Oryzias latipes: one gene and its partners. The protein of the gene in region 2 interacts with the protein of the main gene of each other region in a pairwise test. Links are inferred from orthologs where the notes say so. Each region holds a gene or a part of one and is shown on either strand. Other genes may lie near its edges. The genes, in order: cep70, gcc1 and znf276.

What was found.
Region 1: the proteins of gcc1 (region 2) and cep70 interact in binary tests that used the Homo sapiens proteins (3 or more experiments, as listed by UniProt). The two-hybrid records come from large-scale screens. The link is inferred for Oryzias latipes from reciprocal best matches to the Homo sapiens genes GCC1 and CEP70.
Region 3: the proteins of gcc1 (region 2) and znf276 interact in binary tests that used the Homo sapiens proteins (3 or more experiments, as listed by UniProt). The two-hybrid records come from large-scale screens. The link is inferred for Oryzias latipes from reciprocal best matches to the Homo sapiens genes GCC1 and ZNF276.

What each region holds. Positions count from the first base shown.
Region 1 is NC_019860.2:1,158,656-1,168,870, forward strand, and holds the start of cep70 (centrosomal protein of 70 kDa), read right to left. Parts: upstream 4,866-10,215; 5' UTR 4,614-4,865; coding exon of another isoform or gene 4,605-4,613; 5' UTR 4,475-4,604; coding exon 4,415-4,474; intron 4,332-4,414; coding exon 4,232-4,331; intron 4,052-4,231; coding exon 3,928-4,051; intron 2,770-3,927; coding exon 2,589-2,769; intron 751-2,588; coding exon 575-750; intron 507-574; coding exon 447-506; intron 333-446; coding exon 239-332; intron 1-238. Other genes in the region: double-stranded RNA-specific editase 1, read right to left, coding at 5,224-5,403, 6,112-6,290, 6,365-6,546, 7,145-7,313, 7,382-7,536, 9,089-9,257.
Region 2 is NC_019881.2:23,898,435-23,908,985, reverse strand, and holds gcc1 (GRIP and coiled-coil domain-containing protein 1), read right to left. Parts: upstream 6,192-10,551; 5' UTR 6,068-6,191; intron 5,846-6,067; 5' UTR 5,757-5,845; coding exon 5,421-5,756; intron 5,352-5,420; coding exon 4,710-5,351; intron 4,648-4,709; coding exon 3,400-4,647; 3' UTR 3,353-3,399; downstream 1-3,352. Other genes in the region: ADP-ribosylation factor 4, read left to right, coding at 6,571-6,637, 6,854-6,934, 10,335-10,444. UniProt on the Homo sapiens protein: Probably involved in maintaining Golgi structure.
Region 3 is NC_019864.2:27,731,264-27,741,652, forward strand, and holds the start of znf276 (zinc finger protein 276), read right to left. Parts: upstream 5,173-10,389; 5' UTR 5,041-5,172; intron 4,466-5,040; 5' UTR 4,410-4,465; coding exon 4,178-4,409; intron 3,310-4,177; coding exon 3,006-3,309; intron 2,917-3,005; coding exon 2,870-2,916; intron 2,790-2,869; coding exon 2,370-2,789; intron 1,499-2,369; coding exon 1,417-1,498; intron 457-1,416; coding exon 373-456; intron 1-372. UniProt on the Homo sapiens protein: May be involved in transcriptional regulation.

The DNA of each region.
Region 1 (10,215 bases), on a different chromosome or scaffold from region 2:
GTCTTTTTTTGCCAACGTGACGTTTTTTGACCCAGACTTTTATTTTGGTAAAACACTTTAGCTTTAATCTTGAACTGGGCATCTTAAGACAATAAAAGTCTTTGCTTAAATGAACTTCCTGTCAGGTGGACCAATAATTCCCTTTGGTCTTCCTCCAATCTTCCTCTTCAGCTTCCAGGAAATGGAATTTCCAGCTTTTCCTGTTGGAAGTCAAAGATTTGGATTTGGGAGTTTTTGCCTTGAGGTCTGTTTTGAAGGATGAAGGAGCGCCGGCGGCGGTCCGTTCCCCACCGTCCTGCAGCTCCGAGGCCTCGGCTCCTCCTCTAGCAGACCTGCAGAGGAGAAGGTTTCATACTAAAACCCCTTTGGGATTATTCCTAATCCTAATCTCCTCGTTTTGACACTGAGGCTCCTGAAAGTGAGGAAGAGGAGGAGTCCCGCTTCACCTGAGCTCCTCCATCAGTCGCCTCCTCTCCGCTTCGTAGAAGTCGATGACGTCCAAAACCCTGCAGACACAAACGCTGCTGTGGTGAGAGCCGCAGCAGAGCGTGGCGGCGGCGGGCGGCGCCCTCACCGCTGATCGGCGGCGGTCTGCAGCCGGGACGTCTTCCCGCAGATCTCCTGGAAGCTGCGGTTCCGCCGGGCCAAGCGCCGCTCCTCCTGCTCCACGGCGAAGCGCAGCTTCCAGCGGAGCTTGGCGGCCTCCTCCTCCTTCCTGCGCAGCTTCTGCTGCAGCTGCTCGCAGCGGCGCTGACGGGATCACAAACACACGGCCTTAACCCAGAACCAGAACCACAGAGGGATCACAAACACACGGCCTTAAACCAGAACCAGAACCACAGAGGGTTCACAAACACACGGCCTCAACCCAGAACCAGAACCAGAACCACAGAGGGATCACAAACACACGGCCTTAAACCAGAACCAGAACCACAGAGGGATCACAAACACACGGCCTTAAACCAGAACCAGAACCACAGAGGGATCACAAACACACGGCCTTAAACCAGAACCAGAACCACAGAGGGATCACAAACACACGGCCTTAAACCAGAACCAGAACCACAGAGGGTCCAAAAACACACGGCCTCAACCCAGAACCAGAACCAGAACCACAGAGGGATCACAAACACACGGCCTTAAACCAGAACCAGAACCACAGAGGGATCACAAACACACGGCCTTAAACCAGAACCAGAACCACAGAGGGATCACAAACACACGGCCTTAACCCAGAACCAGAACCACAGAGGAAGGACCGCAGGTCCAGAGCTGAAGACGGCAGTCTGTTGACCAAAGCTCTGCGCACTTTGACCCCAACCACTTTCCAGAACTCCTTTACCATATAAGGGATTTCTGGATGCTAGGCTCGCATCGCAATATCAGCATTTACGTTATTCATATGCTAGGTTAGCATCAAAGTTACGTAATTTATTTGAAAAAAAAAAAAAGAAAATTCACGACATTCATTTGGGACGATTGCATTCAAATAACAGAATTTACGTAATTTTCTTTGCGAGGTTCGCAACCAAAGAAGATCAAGTTTACGTCGTTTCTATTCGATATTTGCAAACAGACAACATTAAAATTGATGTATTTCTATCCTATGTTTATTTCCAAATATCTGCGTATTATTTGATTTATTGTATGCAATGTTTACAAACAAATAACATAAATTTCACTGAAATACCATCAAATTTACGTTATTCGTAAGCAAATTTCCCAAACAAATAAATACTTAAAATCGACGTTATGAAGTATATTTAACGTTAAAAATTTTCTTCCAAAGTTAATTTTTGTATATGATCATTGCTACAAAAAATGACAAATGTTTATGCAATATTTGGGTATAATTATTAACGTAAAATGTACGTCATTTGTAAACAAATCCCATCCAAACAACGTAGATTTGGGGTATTGGATGTTACCATAGCAGCGTACATTTGTGTCAGGAATGGGAGGTCCAAGCAAAAAGTGTCGAGTCACCGATTCTACTGCTGGATATTCACAGTCGTCATGTCAGTGACAAAAATATTTTACAAAAGAACACAGTAGAGTTCGCTTACTCCCTATACGACTACAACTGAAGGTTTGTTGACCTTTGACCCGAGGAAGAGACCACCATCTTGAATGTTTCGTAAAAATCATCTTTAGGAGCAGCTACACATTTAAACTCCTAGAAAAGAAAAAAACCTTTAAACTAGAAGTTTTTGATTTAAGCATGGATCAGCTATATGAATATATTAAGAATGTGGGCGTGGTTTAAAAAACAAAATCGATCGAAATACTAAATGGTTGCTATGGAGATAAAACAAACCAAAAAGCACCATTGTGAAAAATGTTTTTTTAAGGAAAGTGTCACATCTCATGACGTCGCAGCTCTGATCAGGGTATCAGGGGCAGAGGGGCATGTAGAAGTTGATTTGTCTCTTATTTTGAAATCTGTTTGAGGGACAGCAGTACTGGGAGAGTAGCTGCATTTCAAAATAAAAGGTTTCATTGAATTTTGTTTTTTTTATGCTGAATTTCTACGGTTTTTGATGAAAACTGGGAAGTCAGATGAATGAAGGCAAAGATCAGGGACTGACTATGGCCTCTGCGCTGTGGCGCTGCAGCTGCAGCGTGCGGCTGTGCGTCTGCGCAGCCCTGCAGATGCAGCGGTCCTCCAGGTCCTGGACCTTCACCTTCACCTGGTCCAGCAGCGCCTGCAGCTCCGAGGCCCTCTGGGAGTGCTGGGCGGCGCGACTCATCTGCTCCTGGACCTCCTCCCTGGAGAAAAAAAATAAAGAAATAAAAATAAAAAAAGACCAACAGGAGAAAAGCCTCTGTTTTCCTGACTCCGCCCCCTTTTTTAAGGCTTCATTCCTGCTGGACAGAACTAAAACTGACATTCAAAATACTAAAATGATTATTTACAGATTGATTGATGATTCTGATCATTTTAGTGTCAAACTATGAATAAAAGGTAAATAAAAGTAGTAAAAAATATATTTTAATATCAATTTTAAACTACAAGTTAAAACTGGTGGTAAATAAATGTATATATATATATATATATATAATTTAAGAAATCCATTGAAATTTATAAATACATAAATACAATAAAATATTTCAAAATAAGAGCATGGATTTATCAAACAAGAAATTACCAATAAAATACTAAATGACAAAAAAAAAAAAAGTATTAACATGCCGAGTATTTTTTCATTTTAGTTACATTTGACAAGCAAACAAAAAACAAGTAAAACCTAAAAGTAAGGATGCCTGATTTCATTTTTTTAAAACCATTTGTTATTTCAATTTGAACTTTATTCAGTTTGAAATCCTTCTATAATAGTTTTTCATTTCCCATCATTAAAACTGTATTTGTTTTTTTTTAACCTTTTTAGACTTTTGTAGAATAAATAAAGTTTTTCGGTATTTCATGCAAAAATACATCATTTTTAAAGAAATGTAAATATTCTTTAAACCAATTTAAATGTTTTTGAGTTTATATGAAAGTTGATGGGTTTAGTTTTATAAGGAACTTTTACATAAAACCAGGATAAACAAAAGTCTAACAGGAAGTGCGGATGTTTGATCAGAAGTTGACAAAAGTTGGTTCTGCCGTCTGTCAGTCAGAGCTCACGGTTCCTGACAGGAGATCCTGATCCTGGATCTCACAGAGACATTGTCCCTGAGGGAGCCGTCCTCCCCTCAGCTGATGTTCGCCAGTCGTTTACCAAAATAAAAGCCTCTGTGTGATCGGATGGGATCAGAGATGCGGTTGCCACGGTTACGCTTGGACAGCAGACGGGGGATTGGATAACAGGACAGGTGGTCTGCAGACGACCAGACCTCACTGATGACCACAGAGAAACCTGAACCCCCACAATGCTGCAAAGGGGGGGGGGGGGGTCATCAGTCAGAGCTGGGGGCGCCACTCACCGGAGCCGGTTGTTGGACCCGACCAGCTCCTGCAGGAGAGCCTGCCTCCTGTCCGAGTCCGCCAGCAGCGTCTCCAGAGTCCGCCTGAGCGCCGCTGCGGACTTCCTGTCCAGCAGGCCCAGTTCTGGAAGCACAGAGGAGCAGGCAGGAACCAGATCATCAATTTAGAACCAAAAATGGATTCTAGTTTCTGTTTAGTCCCAATAATGCCGCATTTGCTGGGTTTTTAACCAAATAAAGGCAGCTTTGGACCATTTGGGTTGAATTTCCTGCTGGGCGGTGACGTCATCACCTGAGCTCTCACCTGCAGGGTTCTTGTTCTCCACGGGGTCCGCAAAGAGCACCGGCCGGAAGCCCCGCTGCTGCAGCAGCCGGTTCAGCGGCTCCCACTCCGCCTGCTGCTCCTGCGACACACACACAAACACACAACCCGGGTCAGACCGCCCGGGTCAAAGCGGGACCCACCTGGTTCCCACCGCGGCGCTACCTGGAACTGCCTGCAGGTCCACAGGTAGACAAACGTCCCATTTCCCCCCGGGGGCCGCATGTCCGCTCTGAACCCCAACAACCTCCACTCAACTGAAAACGCTCGTGCTCTGGCGCGCGCGCGCGTCTGAAAACTGAGCCCCCCTCCCTCCTCAGTTTTCAGTTACCAAGCGGAGTGTCACGTGACTCACCTGCAACATCCCGTCAGTCCCCTGGAACAGAACCGCTTTCCTGAATGAGAACCGTGGAAATGCCGGTGGAAAAGGTTCGGTTGGACTCTCGGCACCGTTTCGAACTCTCCGAATAAAGGAACCGAACCAGTCCGGACTCCGTAGAAACCTCTGAAAAGCACTTCAACAGGATAAAAACAACAAAAATCCTCTTTAAAACCCGCCACGAACACAACTGACTGTTTGGGGCTCAGATTCAAACCGTACGTGATGACGTCACTAAAATAAGCCAATGACAGACAAGATTTTTTTTAATGCAACTTTATTGAACAATTTGTTTCGCTCACTCACGTTTTTTTCCTCTTCATTTATTTATAACATTTCAACATCTGAGCGTCAAAGCTTAACAGAACATAAAAAAGATCAAACATTTAATTCTTTTTTCCTCCTAATAAACAAATGGTCTGAATGATTTCCATGTACGAGGGCTCCCCTCCTGCAGGTGGCGCTGTTGCGTCAGCCAGAAGACTTTGCACATGTCAGTCAGAAACAAGGTAAAACTGAGGATATCCATTTTTGGACTGCTGGGTCTGCTGCCAGTCCCGTCTCCATGGCAACCAGGAAGCTCATCTGAAAGGAGTCAGGAGCTGCTCAGGGAGAACCGGTCCTGCTCTGCGGGCTTCTTGACCCAGATGCCCAGTCCAGCGTCAGCCAAAGCTCTGTAGAGCGTGTGCTTGGCGGAGCAGTACTCCTCGGCCGCCCGCTTAGCCTGGTGGTAGCTGCTGGGCGGCGGGGCTGAGACCCGCAGGAAGGAGGACAGCTACACGGACAAGAAGACGGAGAAAAACTCTCACTTCTGCTGTCAGACCAAAGAGGATCCTCCTCATATTTAAGGCTTCACACATCTATAGCTTAAAAAAGGAGTTTGAGGCCTCAAACAAAGATTTAGAAAGTAAAGTGTGTATTTCTGTCTGGGATGAGGTTGTGGAAAAGCATCAAAATCATTAAAAATGCTTTTTTTTTCTCTCAAACTGAAATGTTCATGACATCACCAACATCTAGTTCATTTGAGCGTTTTATACGACTTTATATAACCACTGAAAACGTTAATGGTTTATTAAAAAAATACATTTATTTCCCCCTCAACAAAAATTGTTAAGAAGAAATTGCATTGTGGACTATATTATACTTATACTGGTGAGCATCAATGGACAGTGGTTGTTTGCAGTGACTTCTGGGAAATTTTCAGGACTCTCGATTTTGAAATTGTAGATTCGGACAGCTGTACAGAATGCTGCTTGAGCTACATAGTGCATCATTTAGATGTAGCCTAGTATTTGTTTTTTTTAGCTACTTAGTTTGATAGCAAATACAATTATTAACTACTAAGCTAATAAGGAAATATTTATTTGGGTTATTAGCAAATTAGCAAATACTATTTTTTGTTTTTTTAGCTGATTATCTTTTCAGCAAATCCAATTTCTTATTTAGCTAAATAAAAGCTAACATAATGCCAGCATCTGCTCACCCTGCTGTGCAGCTGCATCCAGCGGCAGTAAAAGGCGCGTTTGCAGAGTCTTGACGGTCCACCCATTTCTTCTTTCCCCGTGGTGGAGTCAATCACCTCCACATCGTCGTCACCTGCAGTCCAGTTCTCGCTGAAGGGTGGAGCTCTTGCGGGCTGCCGGGCCTCTGGGTTACTTATTCCTGCAGAACCAAAGTCAGGGAACTTTGATGGAGGCCGTGACCCAAGAACCGGGCGTTTCCTGCATCTGTCTCACCGCTGAGCAGCGGCCGGTTGAGGCAGAAACCTGGCGGCAGGCCCTCCAACGGACCGATCCTGCCGTACATGGCCCTGGACATGTGCGCAGCATGGTACAGGCTGCCCACGATGATGCTGGAGAAGTACAGCGGCTCGGTGAAGTAGCTCATCAGGGAGCCCTGGAACCCCAACACGTTCCACCTGTACCTCACCAGAGACGCAAGAATACGATTTAACGCAATCGGAGACATCCAAGTTACCAACCACTAACTCATAATGATTGACAGGTCAATCGTTTACCCTACACCTGCATTTATAGAGTAGCGGTTTTATAAAAGTAAAAAAACAAACACACGACGGTATTTTATTCACAAATTTTTAAGAATTTATCATGAAAAAGTTTGATAAAACAAATAAAATTTAAATTTGACGGAAATAAAACCAAAACCAAAGAAGAAAAAAAACAACAAAACTGGAATTAACCAACAGAAGAGGAACAGATCGCAGAAAAAGCGCAACGAATGTGAACATGCTGAAGGGGTCGTTCTTTATGGAGCCCTGCCCCCGCTATTGCTGCCCCCTTACAGGCCCCGCCCTTATAAGGGAGCAGCAATAGCACAAAAAACAGGGGCCAGAATCTGAAAAGTAAAAAAAAAACAGGGACTAGTTTGAAAACAGGGATAACTAGATCCCTAATCCCATAAAGAATCCCAAAGTTCCATTAGCAGCTAACAATCCGCGTGCTTTTATTGTGAAAGTGTTCCCCTATAACCTGGAACATCAAACCAGAGTTCCACACCTGGCCATTTTGTCGCTGCAGGACATGGTGAGCAGCCTGTCCCCCCGTCGAAGCGCATCCCAAGTCTGGAGGGGTTCCTTCCAGGGAACTGGGACGGTCCCTTCCCCAGTCTGGACTTTGGTGCGCAGAACCCCACGGGTCCTTCTGCTCAGGGGTTCGTCGCCCGAACCTAAAGGGACAGAGGGGATGAAGCGGTGGACTCTGCGGCGCTGGACTTGGGACGAGATGTTAGCTCACCCTCCACCCCCGTGTCGTGGGGGGAGAAAATGCAGGCGTCCCCGCAAGGGGAAGCGCTGACGTACAGGTGGAACTGAACTTTGTCCTTCAGCCTGAAGCCTCGCCCACACTCGCCTCTTCTGAAGATGGACTGCTGGTGGTGCTCCTCATCCTCACTGAGGTTTCAATGGTGGAGAACGTTAGGAGGAGAGATCATTCTACCAAACTAAAAGTACAAAACATTGCAAGTTTTTTTTAAACGCTGTTAAACGTGGACATGAATTAATGAGGTTTTTTCTGACTTCTAAATGTTTTTTTAAAACCACATTCGATTTCAGTACGCTGATTCTAAGGATTCGGACGAATAGAAAATTGGCCATAGATCGGGAATCTTGCTTCAGGCTTTTTCTTTTACAGCTCTATTCTGACTTGGAGTCATTGAATTCTAGTTGGGCACAAAACGCAATTATTAATGTTTCTTCCATGATTAATTTTCAGACAGTTGACACTTTCGTGAATTAAAAAGGGGCACTATTAATAAGTGACTACCGTCCCATATTTTTCAAAGCTCATCTAGTTTAACTTTCAATGCATGTTCAATGGTTTTTGTATGTAGAGGCCGAAAACTGACTTAAATGTTGGTGCAGCAACGCCTGAACGCAAGAGTTTTGAATGTGGAAGCCTGAAATGCACATATACGCGTGTTCACATGACTTTCCATTGAAACTGGCTCCTTGAACACGCGTTTCCAAGGGCAGCGTGAACATAACATAAGGCTTTACTCTAATTAACGACTAGGGTGTAGTGCAAGGGCAAATACTTCCCGATATACTTGCCACACAGACACACAATGATGGTATGTTCCATTCTCAACAAGCCTTGAGGGAACAACTTCAGATGTAGCCACTCTTCTCTATGACCCGCCATAGACACGGACAACCTAAAAACACCCTTGGGGGTCAACCCCATACCGGTGTGTGTGACATTGACATTATATGATCTGTACAGCCAATGCTGGCGTGTAAAGGGCGGGTTTATGTCTCCTCATGGTGTGTTAGTGTATTTGTTCTTTCACATAGACACCTGTATCATCAGCGTAAAACCAGATCCACTAGTTCATCTCTGGCTGACAAAACATTCGACTGAGAAACGGACGTCTAAAATGCAGAGATACAGAATTGTGCGTTGTTGGTGTGTTGCTGCCGCCGCTGGTGTTCAGGACTTGAGGCCTTCATGGCTCCAAAACCCTACAGAGTTGAACATAAATCTGTTCAAAGTCATCTATTGCTTCAGTCTATAAACCCTCCGCTCCATTAGTGTTACCCAATAAATAAAGACAAATAAATAACATTTACAGGTAGTTTGTCCAACTTGGGTTGCCGTACATGATGGATATATTTTTATGAACTGATTATTAATATCTATATGTGTGATCATCAAAGCTTCATGGAGCCAAATCCAGTACTTTCAGAGTCTTAGTGCTCATAGAGTGACAACACATTCATGACTATACAAAACCACACTGACTCGTTTGAGGATTCTCCAACTATATGTAGCATCAATAGCATTTTACGCAAACAGTAAAGCCAAAAGGGTCTGTATTCGATTCCGTAACTTTGCTCGTAACGGTCAAATGATGGAGCAATAAAATCAAATATATATGAAAAAAATGACGAATGAACAAATTAAGCTAATTTATATAAACATAACATTTGATTGAACCATCACCTCAGGAAAAGCTCCAGCTGGGAGTACAGGAAGCGGACCAGGCAGCGGCGGGCGACCACCTCGGCGTGGCAGTCGTTGACAGTCAAACCGTCCTCGCTCAGGTGTTCTCCATCGATGCACTGTGTCCCCGTTGATATGCAGATGACCCTCGCCTGCTCCACCCCTTCATCTTTGGAGGAAACGGCAGCTGGAGTCAAACCTTCAACCCCAGGCGGGTTGGAACGTCAAAATGTTCCTGCATTTGATCCGTTTACTGTAAACTGATCATAACTCAGCGTGAAACATCATAATCAGGCCTGGAAGGATGGAGTACACTGACAACATCTAAATAACATTCTGAAGGAACCTGATGAGATGTGGTTCCTGCTCTTGGTCTTGGAATGGCTGAGGAGCCAATAAGGTTATACGTTTTCTAGGAGGAAGCATAGCGAGGCTGAAACACACCTGAATGATGGTCACCCGGAGTAGAGCAGATGGTTCTCCAAAACCCCCGAGAACCTTTGGTTTTCAATCAGGAACTTGGATAGAACTGAATAGTGAGACGAAGCTGGAAGTTCCAAAAACAACCTAACAAAATGGAGGCATCGTGAACTTTGTCACTGACGCACAGAGATTCCTCCAAATTCTTGTAATCTCCCGATTATGTCAACCCTTAAACGGCCAGATAGCCCAATGCTTTGGGGTTCCAAAAAGGTCTTTAAACAGAAGAACTTCTGAGAACATTTATCTAACAATGTCTATGTTTTTGCCATTTGTAGCCCAAATCCCCCCGAAAATATTGAAATCGATTTGTGTAGCAACAAAACCTAAGGGGGGGGGGGTTATTATTTGATGAACGTTTTGTTTAATACAGAATGTGAACCTGACAGTCGGACTGTTTTAGATCCTCCTTTACCTTATACAAGATCAATGGCCAAGTTGTAGATCATCTAAAGCTGAGACTGGAAGGCTGGGTCACAACTTTTCTGGGTTTGGATTGGGGTGGGATGACCCAGCTACCAGATTGTTCACTGCTCCACCAGATGGGTCATAACTAATGAGACTTTAACTATAAGACTTTTATTTTGAAGATCAAACTAAAAACTCAAACAGCTGAAAACATAAACTGACAAAAGGTTTTACTTTGG
Region 2 (10,551 bases):
CTACCTACATGCCAACAGCACACTGTAAACACGCTACCTACATGCCAACAGCACGCTGTAAACACGCTACCTACATGCCAACAACACGCTGTAAACACGCTACCTACACAACAACACTACGCTGTAAACACGCTACCTACATGCCAACAGCACGCTGTAAACACGCTACCTACATGCCAACAACACGATGTAAACACGGTACCTACACAACAACACTACGCTGTTAACACGCTACCTACATGACAACAGCCCGCTGTAAACATGCTACCTACATGCCAACAGCACGCTGTAAACACGCTACCTACATGCCAACAACACGCTGTAAACACGCTACCTACACAACAACACTACGCTGTTAACACGCTACCTACATGACAACAGACCGCTGTAAACACGCTACCTACATGACAAATCATGCTGTAAACACGCTGCCTACACGTTATAAACACGCCACCAACACATGACATGTGCCACACGCTTGTCTGGTGTAGCTCATCAAATATCGTCCTGCAGCTGACCTACCGAAGCAGGTGAAGGTGAAGAAGTCGTCCAAACTAAAGACTCTCGACACCAAACCAGGTAAGAACAAACTCACCTGAGCCTCTGCTCACGTCTGCTACCTGATGCATGTGTCTGCACAGGTATCTACACAGCCTACAAAACCTTCCTACACAAAGACAAGATCCTCATCAAGAGACTGCTGAAGGTGAGCAGGTGGACACACCTGGGTGGGCGTGGCTTCATCTGAAGTGTTTATGCGGATCTGCAGGGCATTCAGAGGAGGCGGCCGTCGGAGGCGCAGAGCGCCATCCTGAGGCGCCACCTGCTGGAGCTGACGCAGAGCTTCATCATTCCTTTGGTGAGCGCAAAGAGCAGGTGTGGTGGTTCCTCCCACCTGAGCAGACGCACATGACAGAGACCTGAGCCCTGTGCTCTGTGTGGCAGGAGCGGTACATGGCCAGCCTGATGCCCCTGCAGAGATCCGTGACCCCCTGGAAGGTAAACAGCAGGTGCAGCATCCCGTCCTCCGCAGAGGTTCTCAGGTGTGTTTGTGCTCAGACTCCTCCTCAGATCCGCCCCTTCGTCCAGGAAGACTTCCTGTCCACGCTGGAGCATGCAGGCCCTCAGCTTACCTCCCCGCTCAGAGGGGACTGGGTGGGTTTGTACAGGTGAGTCCGGTGGTGTCGTCATGTGTGGTCAGTGAGTGATTAGCCCCGCCTCCCATCCTCTGGTCCATGTCCCCCTGCTCTCAGAAAGTTCTTCAGATCTCCCAACTTTGATGGCTGGTACCGTCAGCGACACAAGGAGATGATGCAAAAGCTGGAGAGCCTCCACCTGGAGGTGATCTGTGATGCGGTAAGCCCCGCCCTCCCTCCCAGCCGCGACAGCTGATTGGTCTTTTTGTCCTGACTCTGAGGCGTCTCCCCTCAGGACCTGCTGGGATGGACCAGGGACAAATCTGAGGTGGAGATTGTGGACCTGATCCTGAAGCTCAGAGAGAAGCTGGTGAGTTTCTCCTTATGACACCTCCTCCTCCACCTCCTCTCCCAGTCTGCTCCAAAATCAGGTCAGGAGAAAGCATGACCTCCCCACCAAAGTCAAACCCGGTGACCCAACAGAACCGGGCTGCTGTCTTCCAGCCGCTTCTGTGGCTGCAGGGTTGGACGATCTACGGCCCGTGGTCCTGATCCGGCCCGCCTCCATGCTTGGTCCGGCCCCTAAACAATATCAGAGACCCACATAGAACACGTTTTAGTCCACCGTTCTGCAGTCTGTGCCCCGACCTGAACCCTCTAAAGTCCCTGTCAAATCAGGAGACGGGCTTCCTTTAGTCGGGGTTCTGAGAAGAACCACACAGGAGATGAGAGACGTCTGCAGAAGGTCACAGCGCAAAGCTGCCTTCCCGGTGGATCCAGTCTGCTTTTATTGGTCGATACCATGAAAGCTGGTCATTCAATCAAGCAGAACAGGAACATCATATCTTGTGTAGTCAGAACTTTTCAGTTATTGTTTTTGAACTGAGACCATCTGTTGATAATAGCCTGTAAGTAAATGATAATTACATGATCCTAACACCTTTCTACGGCACAGCTCATCTTTATGCCTCTTTTTCTTTTTTTTTTCCAAAAGTGCACCTTGTCCTGTGTGCTGATTGGCTGGAGACCTTGTCAATCAATTCTGCCGAGTCAGAAATCTTTGATCGCGATCAGGTCTTTGTTTTCATTCTAAGATGCTGGGCTAAATGTCTATGAAGGCTTGAGAATTTAAATAAGAGAGAAGCGTAGAAAGAGTGCAGAGGAGTTTCTCTGCCAGAAACGTCTCCCTGGATTTCATTTTAGAACTCCTGCGATGAACGAGGGAATTCTGTTCTGGAGAGAAATGCTGAGCTGCTGCTTTTCTCATTCTTACTGGATGAGAAACAGACGTGCAGGAATCAGCTGCTCAGTTTGATCCCTGACCCCCTCCCCCCCTCCCCGGACCATGACGGCAGAGGATCCACTAGATTGAATTTCTTTGACAATCACAGTTATTTGGTTGTTTTTTATTTGGTAAATAGTTTTATTGAATGAATTTTTAATGAATGACTGAAACTTTCTTCATGTAGCACTTCCTTCAGGGGAACCATCAAAATAAAAGACTGAAGTTTCAAATGAGAGGACAAAGGTTCAGGGCCCGCTCTAGCATCCAACATTTGTTTTTCCTTCTTCCCGTCATTCAAACACCGCTTGAACGCAGCATTTCTACGTTTTATAGACGTACGTCAAACGGCTCTAAAATGAGCAGTTTAGAGACAAAAACTCAGAAATGTCCCGTTTGAAATGAATTTAGTGTCCACACGTCTTTGTGCAGATTCTCTCTCTTCTCCACATCTGCCCTTCAATTGAGTTTTAGAACGGAAAGCTTTGCCCTCACCTTTCTACTTCCTGTTCCTTTCAGATTAAAGCTCGCAGACAGCAGCTGCCGGTCCAAGACGGAGTCTTACAGAACCTGGACACTTTCATCAGAACTTTGATCGGATCACTGCGGGACAATCTGCATGAGGTTTTTGAAACGGGCTGATGGTTTCTGGACCCGCAGAACCGGGTCGCCGCTCTGCTGTTGGACAGATGATCCCCTGAAGTGTTTACAGAACCTGGAGGCTGTGAAGGTCCAATAAAGTCTGAACCACCCTGACATCTGTATGCATGAAAGCTTGAGAAATGCTCAGGTTGACCCAGTCCCTGTCAACCAGAACCAGAACTTGCGCTTCCCCTGCTGGATCTGTTTCCTGATTGGCTGCACATTCCTTTCAGACGAGCTTTGCTAACGGACCGTCCGGTCCAGCAGAACTGGGAAAAGACGGAGACCGACAGAGCAGAAAAATACTTTAATTCAAATAGACGGTTGACAATGGCGGTCTCACTTCTTGTGGGCGGGGCCCCACCAGGCAGGCCCCTGCAGCTTCAGGACATCGCTCTTCTCCTGCGGACTGAAGTGCAGGATGGTGAGGATGGCGCCCAGCGTCTGCTGCCGCCCGCCGCTGTCCGGCAGGGTCAGGAACTTGTAGATGACGTTCTTCAGGTACTCCAGGTTGGCGCCCTCGCGGCTCTGGTCGCGGACCAGCTTGTCGAGTTGAGCTCGGAGCTGGGCGGCGTCCTCGTCGTGCCGCTCGGCGTTGGCGATGAGCTTAGCCTGCAGTTGGTGCAGGTCTTCCTCCAGCTGGTGCTTCTGCCGCCGCAGAGCCCCCGCCTCCACCTCCATGCGGGCCAGCTGCTGGGCGTACAGTAGCAGCGTGGACTCCGTGGGCGTGGCCTGCTGCAGGGCCTGGCTGACGGCGTCGCCCTCGCCGTCAGAACTAGCCTCCGCGCCTCCGTCCTCCTGGGTTTCCCGCCTGCAGCTCAGGGTTGCGGCCCGGAGCCTCTCCAGTTCTTGGTCCTTCTCGTCCAGCAGCACCATGGCGCGGTTCCGGTGTTTGTGAAGCTCCGCCTCCAGGCACAGCAGCCGTTCACGGTGGAGCGCCTCGGCCCGCTCCAGATCCTGACGGTGGGCCTGCTGCAGCGCCGCCATCTGCTGCTGCCGCTCCTCCAGCTGCCGGCGGTGTTGAGCCTCGGCCTCGTCGGCCTGGATCCGCAGGCTGATGTACTTCTCGCGCAGCTCGGCCTGCTGGGCCCGGACCTCCTCCAGCTCCTGGGCCTGGCAGCCGTCTTTGGCGTTCTTGTTCTTCAGCACCACCTGCGCCCGCTGCTTGTAGCGCTCAAACTCCTCCTTCAGCTGCCGCAGCTCCTGCTGGACCGCCGCCGAGGGCGGGTGGTCGGCTGGCTCCGTCAGGTCCTGAATGTTCTGGTCCGGGTTCTTCTGTGCCGCCAGCACCAGCAGCTTCTTCACCGTCTGCAGTTTGCCCTTGAGCGTCTCCACGTCCAGCTGCGCCTCGTCCAGCCGGAGGTCGGCGCCGGACCTGCCGGAGGCGGCGAGCGCCAGCGTCTTGTTCTCGGTATCCAGCTGCAGGATCCGGTCCCGGAGTCTCTGCGCGGCGTGCTGGTCCCGCTGCCTCGCCTTTTCGCAGGACCCGAGCAGCTCTGACAGCTCTGACACCCGCTGCTCCAGGCCCGCCACCCGCAGCTCCGCCGCCTTCGCCCGCTCCACGGCGCGCTCCTCTGCCACGGCCGCCTGCGACACAGAGAACGCTGGAGGTCCTGGTCCGGTTCTGAGCGGCGCCGTGTCGGACTCACCTTCTTGGTCTCCGTCTGGACCTGCTGATGCAATCGCGTCTTCAGCTCCTGCACCTCCCTCTGCAGCTCCTCCACTCGGGGGTCGGGCTTCTTCTGGCCTTCCTCGAGGCTGTGCAGCCGCCTCTGCAGCTCGTCTCTCTGCTCCTTCACCTGGCTCAGGTGGAGCTCAAGCTCCGCCCCTCGATCCTGTGAGGATGCGATGAGGGCGGAGCTGGCGTCCTGCAGGCGCAGCTCCGCGTCCTGCCGGGCGTCCCGCTCCTGCTGCAGCAGCTTCTGCAGCTCGCGCAGCTGCTGGGCGTGGTCCTCCTGCTCCCGCTGCCGCTCGTGCTGCTGCGTGATGACGCGGGCGCGGCACTCCGCCAGCTGCTGCTGCAGGTCGCCCAGCTCCGCCTCCTGCTGCGCCGTCACGGCGGACAGCCGCTCCTGCAGCTCCTCCACCTCCTGCTTCAGCTGCCGCTTGTCGGCCTGGAAGCTGGCCTCCATCCGAGACTTCTCCTGCGTGACGGTGGCCAGCGCCGCGGTCAGTGTGCTCAGCTGGCTCCTCAGCTGGGAGAGGCGGCGCTCCGGCTCCAGGTTCTGAGGGGGCGTGGCCTGTTGCTGCTCCGCCTCTCCGATGTCCACGTCCGGCTCAGAGCGGGGCGGCTGTGGAGAAAAGCCCGATGGTAAGCTGCTGACGGGAGGTCAGGCTGGAGTGAGCGTGCTCGGACGAACCGTGGAGTCTGGTCCAGGTCTGGACTCTCCCTGCTCCTCCTCGCTCCGGTCCTCTCGGACGCTCCCGCTGTCCTCGCTGTGCACCGAGCTGCAGTCCTCCAGGAAGTTTGGGCCTCCAGTGGTGAGCTGCTGGTTCAGGTCCACCTCTTGGCTGACAGTCAGGACCCTCAGACTGGCTTCCAGGGCCTCCTTCTCCTTCAGGAGGCTTTTGTAGGCCCGGACAACATCCTTGAACCGGGTCTGGTACTGGACCAACTGCTTCTTCTGCGACTCAATGGTGTCCAGCAGCTCCTTCCTAGAGGGCCCGCCTCCAAAACTCATCCCGAACTTATCCATGTCTAAGCCGAGCCACAGGAGACTGGAGACTCCGGTTCCGTCAGGATCCGGGATCCATCAGGATCTCTGAACCTGGAACCAGTCCAAATCTGTCAATAGAATTTTTCTCACGTTAGTCCTTATTTCTCCTTCAAGGCCGTGTGATCCATACAGTCAGACCGGCCCGGTTTGGTACAAACTGAGACCACTTCTTCCTCAGTTAACTGACGATTCTTTAGTTCCGAACCGGGAGGGTACCTGCGTTTGGAGCCGGAACATTCTGGGTTTAAAGGCGGAACACATAAGGCTTTAAAAATGTCTTTTCTTCTCACCTTCGCTTCGTTTCTGAACTTTCTTCGATGTCCTGGTTTGTAAAAGTAAATCCCGGACGGAGAACCGCCTCTGGGCCAGCTCTGATGAGTTTGAAGGCTTTAGTGCCGCTCGGCCGCCATGTTCAACGTTCCTTCAACCCGGAAGTGCTGCAAGAGAAGGAGGCGGGGCATAGTGCTGCCTTCAGGAGCAAACACCACTCAGAAACAAATGAAGTGAAAACGGGCTTTAGGACTTCTAGTACTTTCTGCTTGAAAGACGATCTTATTTATTTCAATCATATAAATAAAATTGTTCGAAAAAAATAGAAGATAGTATTTTCTAAACGTACCGAAAAGCCTTTTACACAGTTCTTCCCTTGGGCACTGAACGCAGCACTCAACCCTGTCAATAAAGTTGTGAGGCGGCTGTGACGTCATTTATTCCGCGTTGGCCTGGACGTGGCACCGAGGAGGAGCTGCCCCACCAGTCCAACCGAGGCTGTGCGAACCGAACCTCCGCTGAAATGGGTCTGACCATCTCGTCGCTGTTCTCCAGGCTGTTCGGGAAGAAGCAGATGAGGATCCTGATGGGTGAGCGCCGCCGGGCTCCGGGTCGCAGGTCCAAACGAACCGGGTTGCCCCCGCTAGGGTTACTCCGCTCGGGCCGGACCCGTTGGCATTCCGCTCAGCAGAAATCCATCAAACTTCCGGCCAGCGGAGCTAGCTAAGCTAACGGCAGCCGTGTTTCCGCCCCCGTCGGAGTGGACCGGAAACTGTTCGGAACCTGATGGCTGTCTGTTGTTTCAGTGGGTCTGGACGCGGCCGGAAAGACCACCATCCTGTACAAACTCAAGCTCGGAGAGATCGTCACCACCATCCCCACGATCGGTGAGTGAGCCCCCGAGGGGCGGGGCTTAGTACAGGTCTGGTACTGGGAGCGTTCGATGATCAGTTATCGGTGACGTCATCGGTCTGAGCGAGGCGTTCACGGTCCAGGTGAGCAGGTGTGGAGTCACGTGAATCCTTGGTGTGATCCACAGCCCAGTAGTGGTTGACCTGTGTGAAGTCATCCTGTCCCATAATGCTTTGCAGTCTGGATCCAGCATCTTTACTGGTACTTCTCGCTGGTACTGGTTGTACTGAAAGTCTGCTCTCTCTGACTTCCTTAAAGTTTCTTAAAGGACTTCTACAAAGTCCACACAGCTGAGTGGCCTAGTGTAGAGCGTCCACCCTGATGCTGGTACAGTGTGGGTTCAAATCCACAGACTCCAAATGGAACTCTCTGGAACTAAAAAAGTTTCAGGTCCAAACTTCTGTGTGTGGATCTTAAGGTCTGGATGTGGACCACCTGAATCTCTCCAGAGATGGGAGCTGTCAGGAAAGGTCTCCAACCTTTTTGAGGCCATGGTGTCTACCGTCTGACTGTAGATTCACGGACCGGTCTAACGTCTGATTGTAGATTCACGGACCGGTCTAACGTCTGACTGTAGATTCACGGACCAGTCTAACGTCTGACTGTAGATTCACGGACCCGTCTAACGTCAGACTGTAGATTGATGGACCGGTCTAACGTCTGACTGTAGACTGATGGACCGGTCTAACGTCAGACTGTAGATTCACGGACCGGTCTAACGTCTGACTGTAGTTTCACGGACCGGTCTAACGTCTGACTGTAGATTCACGGACCGGTCTAACGTCTGACTGTGGATTGATGGACCGGTCTAACGTCTGACTGTAGATTCACGGACCGGTCTATCGTCAGACTGTAGATTCACGGACCGGTCTAACGTCTGACTGTAGTTTCACGGACCGGTCTAACGTCTGACTGTAGTTTCACGGACCGGTCTAACGTCTGACTGTAGTTTCACGGACCCGTCTAACGTCAGACTGTAGATTGACGGACCGGTCTGACATCTGACTGTAGATTCACGGATCGGTCTAACGTCTGACTGTAGATTCACGGACCGGTCTATCGTCTGACTGTGGATTGATGGACTGGTCTAACGTCTGACTGTAGATTGATGGACCGGTCTAACGTCTGACTGTAGATTCACGGACCGGTGTAACGTCTGACTGTAGATTCACGGACCAGTCTAAAGTCAGACTGTAGTTTCACGGACCGGTCTAACGTCAGGCTGTAGATTCACGGACCGGTCTAACGTCAGACTGTAGATTGACGGACCGTCAGACTGTAGATTCACGGACCAGTCTAAAGTCAGACTGTAGATTCACGGACCGGTCTAACGTCAGGCTGTAGATTCACGGACCGGTCTAACGTCAGACTGTAGATTGACGGACCGTCAGACTGTAGATTCACGGACCGGTCTAACGGCAGACCGTAGATTCACGGACCGGTCTAACTTCTGACTGTAGATTGATGGACCGGTCTTACGTCTGACTGTAGATTGATGGACCGGTCTAACCTCAGACTGTAGATTGATGGACCGGTCTAACGTCAGACTGTAGATTCACGGACCGGTCTAACGTCAGACTGTAGATTCACGGACCTGTCTAACGTCAGGCTGTAGATTGACGGACCGCTCTAATGTAAGACTGTAGATTGACGGACCGTCAGACTGTAGATTCACGGACTGGTCTGACGTTTGACTGTAGATTGATGGACCGGTCTTGCGTCTGACTGTAGATTCACGGACCGGTCTAACGTCAGACTGTAGATTGACGGACCGGTCTAACCTCAGACTGTAGATTGATGGACCGGTCTAACGTCAGACTGTAGATTGATGGACCGGTCTAACGTCAGACTGTAGATTCACGGACCGGTCTAACGTCAGACTGTAGATTGACGGACCGGTCTAACATCAGGCTGTAGATTCACGGACCGGTCTAACGTCAGACTGTAGATTGGCGGACCGTCAGACTGTAGATTGATGGACCGGTCTGACGTCTGACTGTAGATTGATGGACCGGTCTAACCTCAGACTGTAGATTGATGGACCGGTCTAACCTCAGACTGTAGATTGACGGACCGGTCTGACGTCTGACTGTAGATTGATGGACCGGTCTAACGTCAGACTGTAGATTGATGGACCGGTCTAACGTCAGACTGTAGATTGACGGACCGGTCTAACGTCTGACTGTAGATTCACGCACCGGTCTAACGTCAGACTGTAGATTGATGGACCGGTCTAACGTCAGACTGTAGATTGACGGACCGGTCTAACGTCAGACTGTAGATTGACGGACCGGTCTAACGTCAGACTGTAGATTGACGGACCGGTCTAACGTCCGACTGTAGATTGATGGACCGGTCTAACGTCAGACTGTAGATTGATGGACCAGTCTAACGTCAGACTGTAGATTGACGGACCGGTCTAACGTCTGACTGTAGATTGATGGACCGGTCTAACGTCTGACTGTAGATTGACGGACCGGTCTAACGTCTGACTGTAGATTGATGGACCGGTCTAACGTCAGACTGTAGATTGATGGACCGGTCTAACGTCTGACTGTAGATTGACGGACCGGTCTAACGTCTGACTGTAGATTGATGGACCGGTCTAACGTCAGACTGTAGATTGATGGACCGGTCTAACGTCAGACTTTAAGCACTGGCCGCACGGATTTAAAAAAAAAAGCCCGCTCAATGTCGGAGCTTTGTTTACAAGGGATCCACCAATTTTATTCTTCTATGCTGTGATGTCATCATTGGTTCAGGCCGTGTTCGGGGGCCTGCGACTAATAATGACATCACACTATTTGATTGGCCGTACGTTGGTCTGATGACATGAAAGATAGTGATTGGTCTGGATAAATCTATAGAAGATGAACTTGGAGGTCCAGTTGTAAACAACAAAGCTCTGACACAGAGCAAGATGATCTTTATGCATCTTTATTATCGCTTGTGAACCATTGGAGTCAGTTGCGGCGTTTCAGGCGGAGCGGCTTCTGGTCCGTGAGAACAACCATCTCCATAAATCCTATTTGGAGGAAAACTCCTAGTTTTTCTGTCAACAGCAACTTTATGTTTCCTTCTTCTTCCTCGCTGATCTTTTCTCTCAAAGAAACTTTCCAAACATTGTGAGATTTTTAGCTTTTAAGCTAATTTAGCTCTTGAAGTCATGTGACGCACCAAGACAGACGGATGTGGTTTTCCAAAATAAAACTTCTTTTAGTGTCCGAAAATAAACTAAATGGAAAAATTCCAAGTCAGAGATGGAATTTTGGTTCTGTCTGTGGCCCGGTACCAAGTGGACCACGGGCCGGTACCGGGCCACGCCCTGGGGGGTTGGGGACCTGTGGCGTTAGCGTCACCTGCCGTGTGTTTCAGGGTTCAACGTGGAGACGGTGGAGTACAAGAACATCTGCTTCACCGTGTGGGACGTGGGCGGTCAGGACAAAATCAGACCTCTGTGGAGACATTACTTCCAGAACACACAGGTAAGGCTTCCAGAACCAGACCTGGGTGTGGTTCTGGTTCTGTAACTGGATGTGTGAGTGGAAAAGCCAAGAAGACCCGAACCACCAGCAGAACCTTTGGGTTTGCT
Region 3 (10,389 bases), on a different chromosome or scaffold from region 2:
AAAATGAGAAAACATTTTTGTTCCAGAAATACTGAACACATACAAAGGACAAAAACTAAAATGTTTATTGGACAGCAGAGTCCATAAAACTACCATAAACAGCCGGCCATTCTTTCCCTGTGGCGTGTTTTTAATGGTTTTATTCCAAATAGTAGGAATATAAAGTAATAATTATACATTTCTCTATCCTTCATATTCTTAGTTTGTCCTTCCAAAGGTCCCTATTGCTCAGTGTCATCTTTATATGAACATATTTTTACTGATGAAGACCACCTGCTTTCATCATCCCAGCCTTTTAAGAGCTCAAAAATCCCTTTAAGTTCTTCTAACTTTTTCCCGCTCAGGTCCGTATAAAAGTCATTTTTGACCAACCTCTTTTCAGCGTACGGTTCAAACATCTCCTCGTCTGACAGGCTTCCCTTTGTGCCTTCTTCACACTCTTCCTCAGAGACGACCCTGAACACACCAAACCCGTCTCAGTTTGAAAGCAAGTCGATGCTAAAACTTAACATTTGAAGGAAAAAGAATTATTAACCCCATTAAATTACTGTGATTACACCTCAACTGTATCAAAATACGATCTTTTTTTATACATTTTCATTGACCGAAAACAAGAATTCATGTCTTCATATGGGGTCGCATGAGGATCAGCTTAGAGAATAAAAACCAGGTTAAAAATTAATAAAATTAAGAGTTTTAAACTTGAAACTACACATTATAAACTTAAAATAAATATCCACAATTTGATTTTGTTTAATATATATATATATATATTAAATATGAAAAAACAAAAATTAGAAATATAAAGCAGTAGAAAAAAATATTTTTGTTATTTAGACAGTTATGGGTTTAGAGTTTTATTCAAATCAAGTTCTCTGTATTTCTTAGTAATAATAACAAACGTTAAAAAAAAAAATTTAACTGTCAACACAGGTCCAAAGTGCTGTTCACTGCAGATAAAAACGTATAAAGGAAGACACAAAATACATTAAACGTGTACAAAGAAATGCATATAAAGTTACAAAGTAACAACAAAACATCTCACAAACTTCTCATAAAAGAGAATAAAGAAAGAAGGAACTTCTTTACTGTGTGGGCTTAAATCTAAAAAGTGGTGTTTTAAATTAATTTACAATTATTTCTTTTCTTTGAAGTTTACAATGTTAATTTTAGAGTTTAAAACTGTTTTCGAATTCTCAATTTCACAATCTGGTTTTTTATTCACTTTAAGCTGATATGACCCATAATTTCACTTTAAGATTTTTTTTTCCATTTACCGGTCAGGTAAAAGAATATTTACCAGTACAGAAATAATGTTCAGGTGATTTGGGCACTAATTGGTTTTATTATGAAATTTGAAGCCGGGCTGTTTTTCAACTTGACAAATACTTTAAGGTAAAAAAGAAATCCACTCACCGGTCAGACAGATCACTGTCGGCAGTTTGGTCCTCCAGCTGGACCGGTGCTGGAGACGTGGTCTCCTCTGGACCCGCACAGTCTGTCACGGAGAAGAAACCAGAACTATGTAAGTCCAAGACTCTGACGGATGCATTAGAGCCCAAATAGATAGAAAGAAATCAGCGGAAAACTCCTAATATTTATACAAAAACATGAGCAATCATATAACAAAAGGACTTGAAGTGAGAAAAAGCATTTATCAGAGTATCCTCAGTATCATTAAACCCAGTTAAATACATTTTATGTTGGTTTCCTCTCACAATCTAGAGAACAATGGATAAAATTGCTGATATCTCTTGGTTAAACTAAGCCTTTGTCTGAATTTCCTCACTACTCCATGTAACCTCTATCTAGTGCTCTGAATTCTAATGGAGTTCAGACACATGCTTTGTTGGGTTTTTTTTTCATTTTCTTTTTTCATGTTAAAGCCTTTGGTTGTATTCAAAGGGAAAATCTGTTCTGGATTATCCAAGGAAAAGGACTCTGATTCACTTTAAGCAAACCAAATGTGTCCAGTCTGAATACAGCCTAAAACTGTTTTTTTTTTAAAATATTTTTTTACGTTCACTTAACCAGATAAGTCAAACCTCATTTACAAGACCTGGACCTATCAACGTGTTTTTTGGATTGTTTATATTTGATGTGATGTAATGCGAAATGATCTTCAGCTGCGTTGTTGAATTAAATGCAGGCTTTTATTTTCCAGAACCCGTCAGTGTAAACATGTTGTTTGCTGGAACAGAAACCGACTTTGTTTTCTGTTAATTTAGAAGCATTTTTTTTTTTTTATTTTGGCATTAAATCAAAATGCTTAAGCTGTGCAGCATCAGGGTTTCAGACAACCGCACCCTGCATCCCGCTCCATGGTGCATTTAGTGCAGCCGGAGGACTTTCTGAAATGCAGGTCTCACCTTCACTGCTGCCAGTCCACTCATCCGGAGCAGAGTTCTGCATCTGCACTGCAGCTGCAGGTAGACCACTCTGACGCTGAGAGCTCACATCTTCCAATGACGTCCTTCCATTCCCAGGAGGTTGTTTTTCCTCCTCGTCATCCTGCTCCTCACCCGACAGTTCTCCATCACCGATGCCCCTCCCCAGATCTCCACCTTTGAGGCTCTCTGCGCGGCTTAAGCATGGAGGAGGGGTGTAGCGAGTGTCCATGATGTATCTGTGACCGTCCACGCAGCCCCACACAGCCTTAACAGAGCCCCAACACTGGCCCTCCAGCACCTCCTTCAGGTCGGGGCAGAAGCGGCAGGCTTCCCCGTGGTGGTGCGCCCAGGACACCAGGCTGTGGAGGCACTTTGGGTCTGAGGTGAAGGAAGATGGAGCTGAAAGAGTGAAAATGAGTTTGAGTAAATGAACAATTCACCCGTTAGAGCCAAGAAGAGAGAGAAATGTTTTCCTTTACTTTTGGAACTGTAGTTCATTGTTGACTCTGGACACTTTGCATTCTTCCTGAATAACATGCAAAAAAGATATTTGTGTATAGCTCTGGATTTGTTTAAATAGTGACTCATTAAACTTTGGTTTTTGTTCTGACTCACTGGATTTTTAGATTCTCCTTTCCAACTGGTGGGATGTTTACTCTCTGGAGGAACCGGATCAGGATGCCGTGGCACTTGTAGAACTTGGCGTGGCATTTTTTACAGATAAACTCCGACAGCCGAGGGTCCCGGTCCAAGCGGACCCCGACCAAGCGCTGGAAGTCTGAGTGAAACAGAAGGGGCGACTGGGTCGCAGCGCCAACTGTGTCCGGGGAGTCCTGAGGCAACTTGTTGAAGGCGTTCCGCAGACTGCGAGGGGAGAACTTCCCATGGCAGAGTCGACAGACGGCAGCAGACAGTCTGCCTGTAGATAGAAAACTATTACATTTACAGCTTTAAACGGCATTACTGAGATTCTCCTGAAGTTCTTTAAGGGATTTTTCTTACACCTGGAAAATATTTTGTAGATAACCTGTGTCCTTTTCTAAGACATCGTTTCTGCAGAGCAGCAGTAGTTCAATAGGAGCAATCTCACCCCCTTTCCCGTCACCCATTACTCTCTGTTGACACGCACTCACCAAAGCCCCTCACACCCCCAACCTAAGATTAAAGGGCGATCAATAATGGAACTATCCAGCTGTACAGCTTTGATCCAGATGCCAGTTCAGATGAGGAAAACAAAAACGTTCATGGGAAACTAATTTCCAGTAATAAAAAGAAAAGGCTAAAAAAAACAGAAAAGGTAGGTATTATACAGGTATGACATCACTGATTGGATGATAACCTTTGTTCACCTTTTCAACAGGAAGTTATTTGTCATGATATCTTCAGACAGAAGAGATTTCTTTAGACTTCTGGCCACAGTCACTGAAAAAGTGAATCAACTCTTTAACACAGTTTTTTTTTTTCAAACTCAAAGGTCATTATCATCTTTTTGATTTCTGGAAATTACTTTTATTTTCCACATTTTTTTTGGGGTCTTTTTTTACGTTTTGGTTTCTTTAATTTTGTTTTAATTTCTTAATTGTCGTGATTTGTTTTTGCGTTCGGAGATTTGTTCATCTGATTTGCACTTCAGGGCCACCGTAGTTTCCACATTCTATCTTTTTAAAACTTAGAAATGAGTATTAACAACAACTGCCAACAGGAGGCACACGAGTAGTGGCTGCCATTTCCAGCTGAAAGAGCAAATCTTCAGCACCTGTGAACCCCAGCTCCTCTGTGAGACTCACCTGTAGAGCTGCACATGCTCTCTGCATGTTTCTGTGCTTCGTCAGCAGCCACGCTGAAATTTGTGCTGGCGGTTTGATGTGTTTCTGCGCCGTCACAGCCGTCTGCGGCGGCAGCTTGACCTTTTCTGGGTCTCCTTTTGCTGCCGGTGGGCCTCTTCTTCTCGTTTGTTTCCCCCGTCGTCTGCAGCCATGGCGACTCTTTCGATCTGGGGCTTCTGCTTTTCTTCTTCATGCCTTTTATTTAGGGCTGGACTGTCAGCAGCTGCTCTTATGATGGAAAATCTGCTGCTTGAGTTCAAATGAAAGCCACATATAGTTATGTAATAAATGTAAATAAAATTAAAAGGCTTAGCTCATTAGGATTGCTAGTACTACAGCATCTGTTAATATTTTTTTTATTTTATAGTAAATGAATATAATTACACTTAGTGAAAGGTTTTATAACTTAAAGGTTAATGTTTTAAGATTTCAAATGACTACATTTAAAATTTTTATGATAAATTACTCCCACAACCCCTAAAGAAACCTCACGTCACTATGATGATACTATGGTTCTTAACTTGTTTTACATTCACGTTGAGCATTGGGAAATATTTTATTTTCACAGCCTTTAAACACAAATTATTATTTCTTATATTAAATGCTATAAATCGATGCTGTAAAGCTATTCTTTTACAGAAAATAAAAAAAATCATCAACAAGGGTCGATGACATGAACACACAGTTAGCATTGCATACAAAAACATCCCGTTAGCCCAGCTCGGTTAGCCTCTTACTCTTACTGAGCTTGCTCCGAAGGTTTTTTTAACTCCAGAAAAACTACAAACTCCTGAAGCTGCATTCAAACTAAAAGCGAAGCCTACCTTAAAGGTGCATAAATCCTATATCACGAACAGCATGTCGTGTTTTATCCAGTCTCATAAGATACTCATATTCTGCCTCAGCTCGTTTGTAAACATTGTTCCCCGGAAGAGCAACCAGACGGACAATCGGAAACATGGAGCAAACAGCGCCACCTAACGAGCAGGTGGACAAACGAACCGAACGGTCAATGCTTAAACCTGATGCGTTTTACAGAATAAATGCCTTTTTTTAAAGCAAATTATCAAATAGTAATTTGGCATTTGGAATTAGAATTAATTAATTTCATCTGTTAAAGAAAGAGGACAAACAAAAGAGATATAAATCTATACATTGATATATCGAACTTTTTTTTCTTTTCAATTCAATTCCTTTATTTTAAACACAAATGAAAATAAAGAAAAAAAGGGGTTACAATAAAATAGTCTGGATTTAAATGAAAACAAAAAATAAAATACATACTTATCCATGTGTATACTTCACACATAGACATATAGATTATGCTATTTTAATTTCTTTAAATCATAAATAGACATATTTGTACTTATACAAACGATACATGACACAAAAGATATATTAAATGCGAAGTTTTTGAAAAACACTTTAATGAATTACTTGAAAAGGAGTGGGAGGATAATCCTTAATCAGTTTATATCAAATCAAATCAAATCAAACTTTATTTATAAAATAGCGCTTCTCATGCACTTTGTGCAGCTCGAAGCGCTTTAACACTAAAAACAGTAAACACACAACACTATAATGTAAAACAAAACTACTTTTGTGAATTTTTTAAATACAGTAATAATAAAACCTGCTTTTATTACTTTTCTTTTAATCTACTTTAAAATCCTTGTTTTATGTTTATTAATTTTGGTTTATTATTCTGCCAAACCGCCTGGCACCTCCGAAGGGGAAAGCAGTTCTCTGCAGGCACCGTTTTCAGTGCAGGTGGGGAGCTGTTGACTTCGACTGGGGACATTGTGGGGCGGTGGAAGGAATACTTTGAGGATCTTCATACTGACAAGCTTTCTTTTGAGGAAGCAGAGGACAATGACTTTGGCGTGAGGCTGTCAATACTGGACCAGCTCTACACCCTCTTTAGGGTGCTGGAGGGTTTGTGGGAGTTCGCTCATCCAGTCTATATGTGTTTCGTGGATTTGGAGAAGGGATTCAACCGCATCCCCGTGGTATCCTGTGGAGGCTGCTCTTGAATTATAGAACAAAAAGTGATGCAGCTTGTTACACAACAATAGACCAGACCTGTTCTAGAACCTGCTCTTGGATGTCCCACTGACACCCTGTCAGGATCAGAGACAATTGTAGCCCCATGAGAGGGTGCCACCCACAGGTACAGAGCACGTTGAAAGTCCCAGAGTTTTTCAACTTTCCCTTCTGGTTGGCACTGAATATTAAAATATTATCTGACTCTTTCAATCCCCTTGGTCGGTGACAAAGTCAAAGGACAAAAGCTTTTGGACAAAATTCAGTGGCGGCAAATGATGATTAGGAAGTGATGTAGCAGAAATGTTGGATTCCTGTATTTTAAACACCTCTGTGTTGTGGGTTACCATTACAAGCATGTCGAAACAAACAAACGAGCAGTTGTGGTCTCCAGCACACACGCTAAACTAAACTGGTCGACTCTGAAAAAGGAAGAGGTTTATTATTTGAAGTTTTAAAAAGTACTTTGCAGCAAAGTTGCTGCATTATGTATATAGATTTTCAAAGAAAACACACTTCCTATTTATTCTTTCTTCTCTGTTTCTTGTTTACTTAAAGTAAAAAAAATGTAAACGATAAAAAGGAGAGATTTTCAATTCATCACTTAGAATCATTGTAATATTGTTTTATTCTTTTAATTCTGACAGACCTGCTGCGAAAATAACATATTTAAGTAGTTTGTACTTGGTGTAGAAATATGAATAGCTAGATGTTAAGAATTGGAATATGGTAATTATGTAAAATGAGAGTGGGGTTATACATATTTGCTTCCTCCTTTTCCCTTTTTATTTATTAATATCAAACTATTTGACAATTACTCTATTGAATAGATTGAATGTGTTATGTGTGTACTGCATACATAAGTGCAAATATGTTTATCTAATTAAGAAAAATTATGATATCAAGAAGATAGCATCATTGTCTTTTCTTTCTTTTTATGACCTGTATCTATTACATATTTTGTTTTGTTCTTATTACTTATTTTGTGACTGTGTTATGTGGCATGAATTTATTTATTACACATTCTATTTTAAATTCTTATTCTTATTTTATTTTATTCTTAAACTTTATATATAAATTATAAATTATAGTATAAATTATATTTTATCATGTTTTACAAACATAATAAATTAGGTACTGATCAGAAAGCATTTTAATGTCCCTATACTTGTGAAAGTAAAAATAATCCATCTAATCTAATCTAATCTAATCTAATCTAATCTAATCTAATCTAATCTAATCTAATCTAATCTTTGTCTTTGACCTAGAAAATGACACATTAATGATATGGTCTCCATATTTATTTAAAAGAAAAGAAGCTTAATCAATTATTGAAAATGGTTAAATTGATTAATTTCTAATGATATTACTTATCTTATTCCAAAAATTGATCCATGATCTTTCCAAATGTAACATCATTTTGCAAATTTTTTTACTTTTGATACTTGATCAATTTTTGCAATGAAGATTTTTTTAAACAGTGTTATGTCTATTTTACTGATATAGTTTTTATTAATAATATACATGATTTTTTATAAGTAACATAATCTGCATGTATTTTAGATAAATGATCTGCATTTGCCATGTTGATTTCTAAAATAGTTATTTTTTACATAATCATTTATGTAATTCATATTTGTCACGTGCTTTATCGATACTTCAGGATTCTTCTGTCTGATAAAAGTTATGAAGCGGATAATGATAAATCGTATAATAAAATGGTTACGGTATAACGGGGTGGGATTATATGAATTCGCTTCCTTCCACTCCCTTTCAAGCAATATTTATTAATATGTCTAATTCTCCTCAGTTCGATACATCATTGTATGAATGTATAACTGATGAATGTATAGTTTTTGTGTATTATTCTTATTTAATTGCTTGAAATAAACCATTTCAAATAAAAAAAAAATCTAAATTTTTGCGTCAGAAAAAATAGAAATATTAAAAATATTACAAACAAAATAATTTATCATTAAATGTATCATTGAAATCCTGTGGGTTCTTTCTTTCTGGCCACAACGTACTGTGAAGGTACAAGGAAATTGTGATGTCATGATCATGTTGGTTCTGCAATAGACCTGTTATAAAAAGGGCAGCAGAAGTGCTGAGACTCCATAAGATCCAAGAACCCAGTGAGAAGAACATCGTCCTCATCTCCTCCTGGTCAGAAAGAACGCCATGAAGACTCTCTGCTTCTCTCTCGGGCTGCTGCTGTTTGTTGTCTGCTGCAGTGATGCCATGCGTAAGTTCTCATGTTTGTTCCTCATCCGAATTTTTACGTCTTCTTTTCTTGAGTGATACTAACTTTTATTGTTTTGGTCTGTTCAAGCCTTTGGAGTTTCTGCTAGCACAGGTCCTGGACAATGCTGCTTTGACTTCAAAAACATACCACCACAAAAGATTGTAAAAGACATCATCCAAACCCATCGTCTTTGTTCAAAAAATGCGTTTATGTAAGTCTGTAGTTGATACACAAAAATATGATTAAAGTGATATACCGGTATTTGAATGTGAAATCATTTGGGGGGTATTTTGAAACTTCTGTTGGTTTTGAAAGAATTTCTATCATCAGTATTTTATTTGTACAGTAAAAAAAGAGAAGTTTAAATAGGATTCTTCATAAATTTCTGAAGATGGGACAAAAACAGTACCACTGGGGTGCATTTAAACGATCTTTCGTTCATTTGGACGAGGTTTATTTTTACATCTAAAGTTTTTCAATGTTTTTCCCAATTTGGGAGAATTTTCTGCATTGGATCCCAAAATGTATTTTAAATAGTAAAAGACATTAAACCTCACATTTAACTGAATGACAATGTTTTTAAGTCTATAACATGATCTAACACTAAAAAAATGCTTTATAATATTGTTTACAGAGTCATACCTGTCAAAGGAAAACCGATCTGCATGAAAGACGACGTTGAGTGGGTTAAGGAACTCTTCAACCTGAAAACCTCTGCAGGAAGCAAATAAAGTGCCTCAGAATATTCTGCTCTCTAATATAAACCAACGTATTATTCTTTTTTGGTGCAAAGGATAACTTGCTTTTTTTAAGCTTAACTTTGGCAAATATCTATTTCTTTACTGTACTTTAGATGTTCTGTACTTCTTTCATGCCTTCTACTTTTCTAAGGTGCCTGAGAGAAATGCAATAAAGTTTTCATAGCAATGATATTCAGAGAGCTGTCCTGCCCTGAGCTCTGTGCTCATCTCCATTCACAGATGCATATACTTATTTGGTGTCTCCTATACAGTTGCTTTTAGTTTTCCCTTTACAAAACAAATTTACATTAAAGTCTTAAAAGAATTTCTTTTTAAAAGGATCCTGTTGATTTTTATGTCTATCAAGCTGAGAAAAAAAATTGACAGAAACATCCAAGTTTCCTCTGTGAAAGTTAAAGAAAAAAGATTGAGTTAAAGATTATAGAAAGAATAATACATAAAAATGTTTATGTTATTTAATACTGTTTATTCAAAAGATAGAACAACAAAAACAGGTCAATTCCTTTATTCTTATTTTTTCCAGATATATAATTCTAAACTAAAGTTTTGACTAGGCTATGCGTTATTGTGACTCAGAGGTTTTGTTTAAAGGTGCCAAAATAGAATTTAAAAAGCTATCAAAGAAATAAAAATTTGTGTCTTTTAATCAGTACCATTTTAATCAAATGAATAAATGATATATAAATGCATCCTCTTAACCCGCTGTATCCCCTTTCACAGGGCTGACAGTGTCTAACTGTTGGGTGAAGGCGGGTACACCCTCTTGTAGGGTCACGATCACACACCCATGTGTGCTCACAATCACACCAGTGTGTGAATGTGTGTGTGCATGGGTGAAAGGGTCTGTGACTGTAAAGCGCTTTGGGCCTTCGAGGAAGGTAGAAAAGCGCTATATAAGTATACGCCCTTTACCATTTACACCTGGGAAGAATTTAGAGTAATCAGTCAAGTACAGGAGCACGGAATCTAGAATCTAGAACAATGCATGAATCGCACTGCGCCCAACAGAGGCAAGGAGAACTAAATGATAAATAAATGATCAAGAATAGGTGAGAGGAGAAGTAGATGAGAATAGAGGACAGAACCCCAGTGCAACATAGTTTCCCCAGCTTCAAACTTCTAGC